Linked DNA regions of Stegostoma tigrinum. The protein of the gene in region 2 purifies or fractionates together with the protein of the main gene of each other region. This does not show direct contact. Links are inferred from orthologs where the notes say so. Each region holds a gene or a part of one and is shown on either strand. Other genes may lie near its edges.

Region 1 (3,752 bases), on a different chromosome or scaffold from region 2:
TAATTATATTCTTGCTGCAATCCATTGACCAGAACCGCACACTACATAAGAGATGGTAGGAACTGCAGATGCTGGAGAATCTGAGATAAAAAGGTATAGAATGGGATGAACACAGCAAGCCAAGCAGTATCAGAGGAGCAAGAAAGCTGACGTTTTGGGCCTAGACCCGGCATAGGACTGAAGCGTCAGCTTTCCTGCTCCTCTGATGCTGCTTGGTCCGCTGTGTTCATTCAGCTCTACACTTTGTTATCGCATATTACTTAAGTTGTGCCCTAACCAACTTTTGGTACAGTTCCATCATAACCTCCCTGGCTCTTATATTCTTAACTTTGGCTAATACAGACAAGGATTTCACATGGCTTATTTACCACTTGATCAACGTGTACTGCATCTTTCAGACATACATGAACATATACTCTAAAATCTTTCACTTCCCCTGCACCTCTCAACATTCGCCCAATGGCTATCTTTTGCTTTGCTTGACCTCCTAAAAATGTATCATCTCACACTTCTCTACGTTGAATACTATTTGCTACTTTTCTACCCAACTGGGCTAAAAGGCAATGGGGTCCACTGACATCTTTCTGCAGTCTAGGTATCCTCCTTGTGATCAACCACAATTGTTGTCTCGTCACAAATTTTTGATCATGTTTCCTACATTTACATTCAAATCATTTAAGTACACATACTCAAAAAATCAGGGGCATTATATTGAGCCTAGAAGAATGCCTATAACAGTCTTCCTGTTGACAGGTAATTGTGCAACTATTACCCTTCATTTCCTGCCTGTGAGCAAATTTTGCATCCAATTGGTTACATTCCACTAGATGCCACTGGCATTTATTTTGTTTACTCAGCCTGCGATTTCAGATGTTGCCAAAAGGCTTGCTTGTAGGCCACACATCAACTGCATTATCTACCTGAATCCACCTTATAGTTAAAACAGCCAAATTCAAACATGTTTATGATGCTTTTTGTTCCTCCTCTGACAGCAATGCTATGACACAGAATTGAAAAACAAGAAATGGCATCTGTGATTCTCTGAAGAATAAGCTGCAGCCCCAAAAGCAGTTTCCGGATACGGAGGTAGATGAAATAACAATTCTTGGAATGGTCTTTCATGCTCTCCACTTATTTAAAAAGCAGCATTAGAAACAAACTGAATGGAACTGATGGCAAGAAATATTGTGACTGAGAAATCAATTAAAATGCATTAATACAGTAAAAAATAACTTTTCAATCAAAAGAAATAAATTCATTGTCTATGATAATGGGGCAGCTCAATGGTTAGCACTGCTGCCTCAGTGCCAGGGACCCAGCTTCAATTCTAGCCTTAGACGACTATCTGTGTGAAGCCTGCAAATTCTCCCACCGTCTGCAAGGGTTTCCTCCCACAGTGCAAGCATGTGAACATTAGGTGGATTGGCCATGCTACATCATCCATAGTGTCCAGGAATGAGTAGGCTAACTGGATTAGCCATGGGAAATGCAGAATTACAGGGAGGGGGCATGGGGGTGGGTGCTCTTCAGACGTCAGGGTGAACTCAATGGGCCAAACAGCCGGCTTCCACACTGTAGGGATTCTACGATTGCACGAATGGAGGGCATTGAGTAGTAGCTTTAATCAAACAATTCCCACGACGTTGGGATTGCTCTCAAGAGGTTGAGCTTGTGTTCTCTGGAGTTGAGGGGAATAAAGGTGCAATTTCTTGAAACTTATAAAATTTATAACAAGAACAGAGTAGAGGTTTGCAATGGCTGTGGGAACTAGAACCGGGAGACACTGTCTCACAAAAGGCAAGCCATTTAAGACTGAGACAAGGAGAAATATCTTTGTTCAGAGGGTAGCAAATCTTTGGAAACCTCTCTCAAAGGCTGTGAAAGCCTTGTCATTGATTAAAGTCAAGAGAAAGACTGATAGATTTCTAGAGACAACATGGCATTGAGATAAGATGATCAGCACCATCTAGAATGTCACAGCACGCCCAAGGGTCTCAAAGACCCACTTCTATTTTCAGATGAGACAAAATCTCAATTAGATTTTTTAAGCTGGCACAACTACACTATGCACGACCTAGTTAGAATCAATGATTGTGTAACTTGTTATGTTTACATACCCTTTAAAATGTAATTTCCTAAGCGCAACTTAAATCCAAGATACGACACGCACAAGAACTCAATTTTAATTTGTCAAGACAGTCCCAACTTTAAACATTTGCCATTCCTTTCGCGTTCGTCATATCGTCCAACCTTAATCCTAAACCTTCATCTCAGAAATACAGAAAAGGCTAGCAATACTAGGGTCAGACTGAGTTTGCCGTCTGCAACCTAAAATCAAAAGTTTTGCATCTGGGCCTGTTTATATGAAGTAAGGAGAAGTTTTTAAGACAAAGCAATGTGAGTGAGAAATGAATGAAGCAGTGACTAAAGGGGAGCCAGTCCACGAGATGAACTAGCAAGAAGTGCAGACGCTGCAGTCAGAGATGAAACGCCTGGAAATCTCGGTCTTCGAGCCTAACTGCCTCCAACCTCACGCTGCCCTTCCCGCTCCCGCATGCGCCACTACCCCTCAAGCTGGGGCTACAGCACCGTACGCAGGGCCCCGCTGTTGCTCACTCACCTCCACCGTACACCCCGCCGCTCATGTCCGCTCCAAGCCGCTGAGAGACTGTCGCTGATGATTATGATTATGATCCACGAAGGCCTCTGCCCTCCCAACGCCGGCTCCAGACCGAAAACCCGCTCTGGGCCAACAAAGAGCAACTAATGGCCGATCCCAACCAATCCAGAGCCGAACAGGGTGGGGACACACGTCGCTGACTGTCATCGCAACCAATAGAAATAGATATCCCGCCCACATCCTACGTCAATCAAATATCAATAACCAATAGACTGGAGCGGCTTGGAAGGACAATAGAGTGGTTTTCAGATGGAACCAGCTAACAAATTTGTTTCGGGAGGGGAAAAATATACACGAAAGTTCGTGGTGTGAATGTTGAGGTCCGTCCTACCCAGAAGTCAAATAAAATTGAGTCTTACTTGCAAGAAGAAATGTTGTCTTACGGCATTCGTTGTAGGCCCAAGATAATACTGCAGAAGTGTTTGAGAAGAGTATCCTCAATTTAACCTTCATTTTGCGGGTGAAAATAGACCATTGAAATCGCGCCAGCATTCATTTAGATCGCAACTGACCTATAATTTATTTCTAGTAAAATAAAGAACTGAAATTGTTGAAGTTCTGAAACAATCACAGAAATTGCTGGAGAAACTCAACAAGTCTGGCAGCATATGTGAAGAGATTAACATTTCAAGCCCAGTGACCCTTCGTCAGATAGTTTAACTTTATCTGCCGACCACTCACTCCATAATCCTTGTAGTTAATTATCTACCAATTAATTAAAATAAGTATCAATTTCAACTTTGTAAGCTCCAAGTGTCTCAACATCCTTTGCCTTTTGGTGACAAATCCAAATATCTTGTGAAAAAATACTTCTTATCATCCCTTGAAATTTGGATCAAACATTTAGATGATACTTTCACTTTCCCAGCTGACGGAAGAATTGTTTCAATCTATCCCATCAAATTCAAAGTTTTAATCACCTCAAAGAGATCACGCCTCACATTTCTGCTCTGTGAAAACGGGTATATGGAATGTCTCCTAATAACTTAGCACTGTCTGCCAAGATATCATTCTCATGAATCTGTGCCAAATTACTTTCAAGGCCAATATTTCCTTCCTGAACAATACCCAA
Region 2 (3,752 bases):
AAGCAAGTATATGTTTTCTCAAAATCAGGCAGAGTACTCCACATATGGCTTCATCTGCTATACTAGCACACCCTTCTGCAATTCATCTACCATTCAAACCCCCAAATCCTTCTGCACCACTGAGACCGACAAGTTCTGTTCATTGAAGTAGTTTTTGTCTTTCTTGTCTTCTTGTCCATTACAACTCCCTTTGAGAATTAAAACTGAATCCAATCTTTACACTCTCTCAGGTAGTTCATTCCAATTCCTTAGCACACATGAAAGAGATATATTTATGTCATCTTAGATTCTTTTTGCTACTCACCTTATATTGGTGCCCTCTGATTTTTTTCTGCCAATGTGAACAGTTTCTCTCTCCTGAAATGGGGAGGTAATGGCCTAATGGTATTATCACTGGACAGTTAACTGCGAGACCCAGATAATGTTCTGGGTACATGCTCCAATCCCGCCATGACAGATGGTGGAATTTGAATTCAATTTTTTAAAAATCTGAAATTAAGAGTCTAATGGGGACCATGAATCCATTGTCGATTGTTGGAAAATTTTTACTAATGTCCTTTAGGGAAGGAAACTGCCATCCTTACCGGATCTGGTCTACATGTGACTCCAGACCCACAGCAATGTGGCTGAGTCTCAACCACCCTTTGGGCAATAAATGCTGCCTAGCCAGTGACACCCTCATCCCATGAATGAATAAAGAAAAAACAACTCGATTTTGAGCACCTCTATCAAATCTCCACCTAATTTTTTATTCTACAAGAATAGTCCTATCTTCCACACTATCAATACAGGTGAAATCTTTCATCCTTGGAACCATCCACATGAATTATTTCTACACCCTCATTAATGCCATCCCATCCTTTGCAGAGTTTGACACTGAGCCAAATAACAGACAAACTGAAACTAAATCAGTATTGCATAAAAAATAATCATAACTTGTTTTTATACACTACATATTCATTTTTACAATGTCCAGCATCCCAATTATGTTTAAAACCACTTTGTCAACATGCTCTGCCAACTTCTGGTCCCGCACTCATTTAGGAAAACATGGTAGCCAATGACAATAGTAACCACACTTCAAAAGCAAAGCAATGGCTGTTAAGCCAGTGAGGAATCTACATCAATATAACTGGCCCATTTCAACCTCTCATTTTCTTGTCCCATTTTTCTTCACGGCAACTCCTTCCCTCAATAAAAATTCCTATGCATGCAGTTCTAACAACTTCTCATAAACCAATCACAATGTTACCCTTCTGGAGTGGTAGTTCTATTATACTTCAGTTTTCCCTCTGCCTTTATGTACTTGACTCGCGTACAATCCAAACTACTACACATTTAGTTGTAAACAGCTAAAACCAAATAATGTTAAGATGTGATTAAAAAAGATGAACCTGATGCATCAGCCCTACCTACCTCTCTCCACAGATGCTGAATGATTCCAGCATATTCTGTTTTACCTAGACAGCAAATTCACCAGCACCTGAAAAAAAAGAAATACAGGCTGTTTCAGATGGAGACTCCGTGTCAGAACAGTTCTGACAAAGAGTCTACACCCAAAATATGAAGCTATCTTTGCAGCTGCTAATGAGCTTGCTACGTAATTCCAAAGTTTACCTTTTTTTCAATCTTATGTCTGTATTTGCCAATGCAGACACAAGTGGTGTAAAGTAGAAACACAATCCAGACTTGTATATTGCCTTACAACCACTTCCCATCTGGCAGTCATACAACACAAGAGTATAATTTTATGTCTTCTTGCTTATATTTTAATCAGGTCACGAGTAAGGTAGGACAGTTTCACTAAATACGTAGAAGTCCTCGAATTCCAGATTTCCTTCCAGGGAGAAACCATGGTCGAAGCAAAGATAGAAAGGTGCAAAGTCTCTTTTGCCACAAGAAGAAATAGACGGTTTCAGCAAATAAAGCAACGTTAAGCACGTTTAGCCAGACTAACTTACATACCTCCTCCTCACGGATGTGGAAAAGGGCACGGCCAATGAAGCAATTCCTTTGACAACCCCTTGGAAAGTGCATTGCAATAAATGGTTCGTTGCATTCTGCACATAGAGCAAGTCGTTGCAAAGTTGTCAGCACAAATGTAAACTTGCTCCATTGAAACCAAAGACAAAAATGGCACAAATCTGACTTTCGCTGAAAACGTTGGGGGGGTGCGGTGGTGTAGGTGGGAATAAGGAGAGGAAGAGGATTACGGGGAAACAACACACATACATGCAAATTGGCGGAGGAAACATTCTGCGCGATTATACTCTGCACAAATAAGTGTACAAAGGGTAAGGAACGAGTACAATGTGCTTACATCTAGCAGTCTAACCAGCTGCAAAATCTCCATTGAGGCGCCTGCAAAGCCCCTCGTACCAAGGGAGGCTGCCCTCCAAGCATGCGCACTGAGGAGTGGGTGGGGGAAGGGAAGGAGCCGGGCCCCGGCGCCATTTTTCCCCTCCGCCTCCTCCCAATCGCCGTATCCCCGCGGGGGGCTCACCTTCCTGAAATTTGGGTCTAGGGTCCGGTTTCGGAGCCATCAAGTCAAACCGTCTCTCCGTGCTAAATCCGAGCGCCTGTGCTGCCCCTCTGTCCCCGCACCATAATCGCGGCCCGGTCTGCTCTCGCACGGGCGCCGAGCAACACGACGTACCGGGTTGGAGGGGGGCGGGTCGTCATCGGGGCGACGTGACCCGTCGTCGAAACACGTCACGCCCCGGCCAAGGTGCTCTCATTGCGCACGCGCGGCTGTCCGGTGGGGCTCTGGGAGTTGTAGTTTGAAATTGGCATACAGGGAGCGTGCTAGAGGAAGTTTAAGACGTGAATTGGTGTTCTTGTTTGTATTTCCGACCTTCAGACCTCACAGCTCTTTGTTTTATTATACTGGGTTAACTCAGCAGGTTTGACAGCATCTGTGAAAAGAGAAAAAGAGTCAAAGTTTTGAGTCGAGGGAGTTGAGTTGAAGGGTGCTTCTGCATTTCTGACAGCAAGTTCACCAGGACAAAACAAAACAGAAAAACAGCAATCAAGTTTCTCCAGCAATTACTGCTCTGTATGTTTCTGTACTCTGTCACTGTTCTGGGTGAGAGTAGAAGTGTGGGACATTGGGTTCAACACAGCTTGCGGCCTTGTCAACTAAATTGTGGGGTGTGGAATTCCTCTGTTGAGGAAAAAGGAAGGCACTTCAGAGCCTGCACCCCCAGAAGTTGGAACAGAGTGACAGAGTTGCAGAATCTAAGAATGGAATAGACTCTTTAGAAGAAGCAGGGCATGAGGAGGTTAGTCAAGTAACTGTGGGTGTGATGGATATTGGTGGTCAATCTACCCCTGAAATAGAAATGAAAATGCCAAGGAAGAGGAGACTCAGATGGACCAAGTGAACAAGAGAAGCCTCTTCACTATACACCACACACATGGCTATGCAATACCAGAAGGTGTAACATTTACCTTTTCATCATCTCAGTCCCCCAGATCCCAAACTCATCATCCTGGAGATGCAAAGATTTAGCGATACATTTTTCAATCTCCTCTATTCACAATACAGTTTCCTTCACATCAGAAAAACTAAACGCAAACTGGGTGATTGTTTTGTGGTGTACCTTACACTATGTGTAGGAATGACCCTTGATCTGCAAGTTGCTTGCCATTTCAATTTACGTTCTTGCTCTCTTGTGCACATTTCTATCCTAGGCCTGCTGCAGTGTCCCAGAGAAGCAAGTTGCAGGAGCAACATCTTATTTTCTGTTGAG
Region 3 (3,752 bases), on a different chromosome or scaffold from region 2:
TCAAACTAGACACAGATTGTTGTCATCACCATGGTTTACAAATGAAACACGCTTTATTACCCTTAAAAAAAAGATATTTCAGCACTTGCCTAAAAGGCATTTTAAAAGAGCAAGGCTAGCAACATTTGAAAATATCTTAGGACAGTTACAAGGAATGTGATGGATAACATACGCATTTAATGAAATGGAGCCATATGCATATTTTTTCAAAGGGGATGGATAAATTGAGAAGAGCTTAGAAAGACAATAGCCTGACATCACATGATTATGTAACAATTTCAAAGCATGGAATTACAAGGTGTAGAGCTGGATGAACACAGCAGGGCAAGCAGCATCAGACGAACAGCTACGCTAACATTTCTAGACCTGAAATGACAGCCTTCCTGCTTCTCTGATGCTGCTTGCCCTGCTGTGTTCATCCACGTCTACACCTTGTTATCTCAGATTCTCCAGCTCTTATTACTTCTTCAAATCATGGAACTTGGGTTTCACCAGCTGGGTAAATATTTATTGAAATTTCTTTTGTCCTTGAAGGTGGTGGTGAGCTGCCTTCTTGAAAGGCCCCAATCTATTTGGCATCAGTCCACAGACAATGTTGTTAGGGAGGGAGCTCCAGGACTTGTCCCAGTGGCACTGAAGGAACATAGATACATTTACGACTGGCGAGTGGCTTGGAAGGAAAATTGCAAGACGTGCTGTCCCCATGCATCAGCTGTCCTTATCCATCTAGATGGTAGTGATTGCTTGTTTAGAAGGCCCTGTCCAAGAAGCTACAGTGAATTTCCACAGTGCAACTGGCAGACGGTGCATGTCACCGCCACTTGCCTTCGGTGGTGTAGGGAATGAAAGTTTGTTGGATGCTAGTGCCAATCAAGCCTGCTGTCCACCCCACACAGGCAAGACGACTCACGTAAGGGAACACTTGACAAGGGGATGCCCGACAGAATGCAGGTCTTAGGTTTAAAGGGCAGAAAGCCCAGGCTGCTCACCCCTGGGTTGTCGAGTGTCACGGGGCACTCGACCGCTCAAGCTGAATCGGAAAGGGGGACTGGAACAAAAAAAAGTGGGCGTTGGAGGAAGGCATATAGAAAACAAGGTGATCTAATCCAGGTGTACGAGCTCCTCCGCAAAGCGGACCCCAAATGCAACATAAATTGAGCAGACCAGCTCCGGCACAGGACAGGGTTATGATGGTGCGCGCGCAACCCCTCCCCCCACGTTGTGGGAGGCGCGCGCGGCTCCTTGGGATTGCTGCTTTAATGTCCGCCATGTTTGCCGTGGCGCATGTCGCGGACCGACGGCCAAATTTCGGTTTCTCGGGCTCGGCTCGGTCGGCATGAGGGGCATTTCAAGGAGCGCCCTATCCACCCAGGGGACGGACTCCTTAACTCGCATCCATGAGCGGCTCTGGGCGTCCGGCCGCCCAATTAAGACTGGTCTAAAACGCCATCTTTGTGCCAGTGAGGTCCGCTCCTTTTCGCTGCGCGGTGTCTGCTGTAGTAACCCCACGGCGATAACTGGGGGGGGTGGGGGGGGAGGGGGTGTGCGGGGAGGGGAGGGATTTTTTTTCTTTGTCGGAAAATTTTCTTTTATATAAAAAAAACAGGAATCCTCTCCCGCGCACACCATGAGTAAACTGTCGTTCCGAGCGCGGGCGCTAGACGCCACCAAGCCGCTCCCCATTTACCGGGCGAAGGATCTGCCGGACCTCCAGGATTGCGTCTCCATCAATAGGGCCGTGCCGCAGATGCCGACCGGGATGGAGAAAGAAGAGGAGTCGGTGAGTGAGAGGGGAGGGAGGATGGTTGGTGGGGGGGCCGGGGGGCGGGGAGAGAGGGAGAAACGGCGGCCGCTGGCGTTTTACTCACTGCGCAAGCCACGGCTCCCGCCGCCATTGTTATCCTTTGCAGCCAGGGGACGTTTTGGCGCGGAGATTTGAAATCCCGGAATCGTTTTTTTTCAAAAACAAACGTGTTGACATACACATTACTTTCGGGCGAAAAAAGTTCTTGTTTAACTTGACACGGAACTGAGACATCGAACTTTTTTTTGCCGAACCTATGGCACGATAACCATCCTCCTGCAGACTGTTGCTTTTGATGGTTTTTGTCCGTTTATTTTAAATAGTCCTGCCCCTTGCCCCGTCTGATTGGCTGGAGCCCCTGACAATCTCATTTACCGGGTAGAATTCGGCCGCTGATTGGATGCCGGCGATGACGTGCCGCTCGGCGGGTAAACACCGAAGCCCATGCGTCGGCAGCTTGTTGACAGTTCGCGTCGTAGAGTTACTTCTCTGGGAGAGTGGAGGCTGAAATTTTATTTAACCAAAAAACTAAATGACCCTAGATCTTGAGGCGACTCAGATGTTTCGCCCCTGTTGGAGGCCGGTTTGGCAGCAACCTGTGCTATTTGTGATACCCGATTATACTTAACATTTAATGCAAATAACTAGAATTTAATGGTACTTTTGTGGAAGTCATTTTCAGTGTCCTAACACGGATTGAGAGATTAATATGTGGCAATGAATGGCGATGTTTCTGCACTAAAGCTGACTACACTAACCAAGGAAAAAAATTTTGAAACGTATGGGATTATTTTTGCTGTTAAATTCTTCCCTACGCTAATTGCTTTGTGTAATGCAGTCAGATGAAACATGACAATAAATGCAACGTACAAAATACAGATTGGCTGATTAGTATTCTAGTGCAAATGGTAAGGCAGATGTTCACATGAGAGATGATGGGAACAGCAGATGCTGGAAAATCCGAGATAACAAAGTATGGAGCTGGAAGAACACAGCAGGCCAAGCAACATCCTAGGAACACAAAAGCTGATGTTTCGGGCCTAAACCTGATTACCCTGCAGTTTAATCTGGTTTCATTTATGTGCTAATTTAAACCCTACCTATTTTGCAAGGAATTATCAGATCAAAGCAGGAGATGCGATCAGGCCAATCTATTAATTTGAGACCTAGAAAGACTAAACTTGGCCCACTGACAACTTTTTCCAAAAGATTTGGGTCTGGTCAAGTCGAGAACTGTTTTAAGTACTCCTCTGTTCCACCTGCATAGATGCCCATGTGGTGCAGAATATGCTGCCTCACTGCCAATGAAATTAGGAAAATGCTTTCTCCTGTATATTTTCTGAATTTGTGTCACTTGAATGCTGGAGCCAAGGTCAGTACCAAATGTTTAGGTTTACTGCAATCAGTTCTGGTCTCCCTGCTTTAGAAAAGATGTTGTTGAACTTGAAAGGGTGCAGAAAGGATTTACAAGGATGTTGCTGGGACTCGTGTGTTTGAGGAATAGGGACAGGCTGAACAGGCAGGGGGTATTTTCCCCTTAGAGCATCAGAGGTTGAGGGGTGACGTTATAAAGGTTTGTAAAACCATGAGGGGCATGAATAGGGTGAATAGATTAGATTCCCTACAGTGTGGAAACAGGCCCTTCGGCCCAACAAGTCCACATCGCCCCTTGAAGCATCCCACCCAGACTCATTCCCCTATAACCCACACACGCCTGAACACTATGGACAATTTAGCATGGCCAATCCACCTAGCCCGCACATCTTTGGACTGTGGGAGGAAACCGGAGCACCTGGAGGAAACCCACGCAGACATGGGGAGAACGTGCAAACTCCACACAGACAGTCACCAGAGGCTGGAATCGGACTTGGGTCTCTGGTGCTGTGAGGCTGCAGTGCTAACCACTGAGCCGCTGTGCCGCCCCACCACTGAGCTACCGTGCTGCCCC

Evidence for each region. Proteins that work in one complex are often made in the same cells at the same time.
Region 1: the proteins of morf4l1 (region 2) and actl6a purify together in Homo sapiens (affinity purification with mass spectrometry; 6 studies listed by BioGRID and IntAct, with this or other methods). This does not show direct contact. The link is inferred for Stegostoma tigrinum from reciprocal best matches to the Homo sapiens genes MORF4L1 and ACTL6A.
Region 3: the proteins of morf4l1 (region 2) and epc2 purify together in Homo sapiens (affinity purification with mass spectrometry; 5 studies listed by BioGRID and IntAct, counting the BioPlex papers as one, with this or other methods). This does not show direct contact. The link is inferred for Stegostoma tigrinum from reciprocal best matches to the Homo sapiens genes MORF4L1 and EPC2.

The regions. Positions count from the first base shown.
Region 1 is NC_081367.1:36,939,434-36,943,185, reverse strand, and holds the start of actl6a (actin-like protein 6A), read right to left. Parts: upstream 2,786-3,752; 5' UTR 2,646-2,785; coding exon 2,621-2,645; intron 1-2,620.
Region 2 is NC_081386.1:32,983,970-32,987,721, forward strand, and holds the start of morf4l1 (mortality factor 4-like protein 1), read right to left. Parts: upstream 2,687-3,752; 5' UTR 2,544-2,686; coding exon 2,504-2,543; intron 1-2,503. UniProt on the Homo sapiens protein: Component of the NuA4 histone acetyltransferase (HAT) complex which is involved in transcriptional activation of select genes principally by acetylation of nucleosomal histones H4 and H2A.
Region 3 is NC_081360.1:83,954,839-83,958,590, forward strand, and holds the start of epc2 (enhancer of polycomb homolog 2), read left to right. Parts: upstream 1-1,221; 5' UTR 1,222-1,336; coding exon 1,337-1,465; intron 1,466-1,606; coding exon 1,607-1,780; exon of another isoform or gene 1,781-1,846; intron 1,847-3,752. UniProt on the Homo sapiens protein: May play a role in transcription or DNA repair.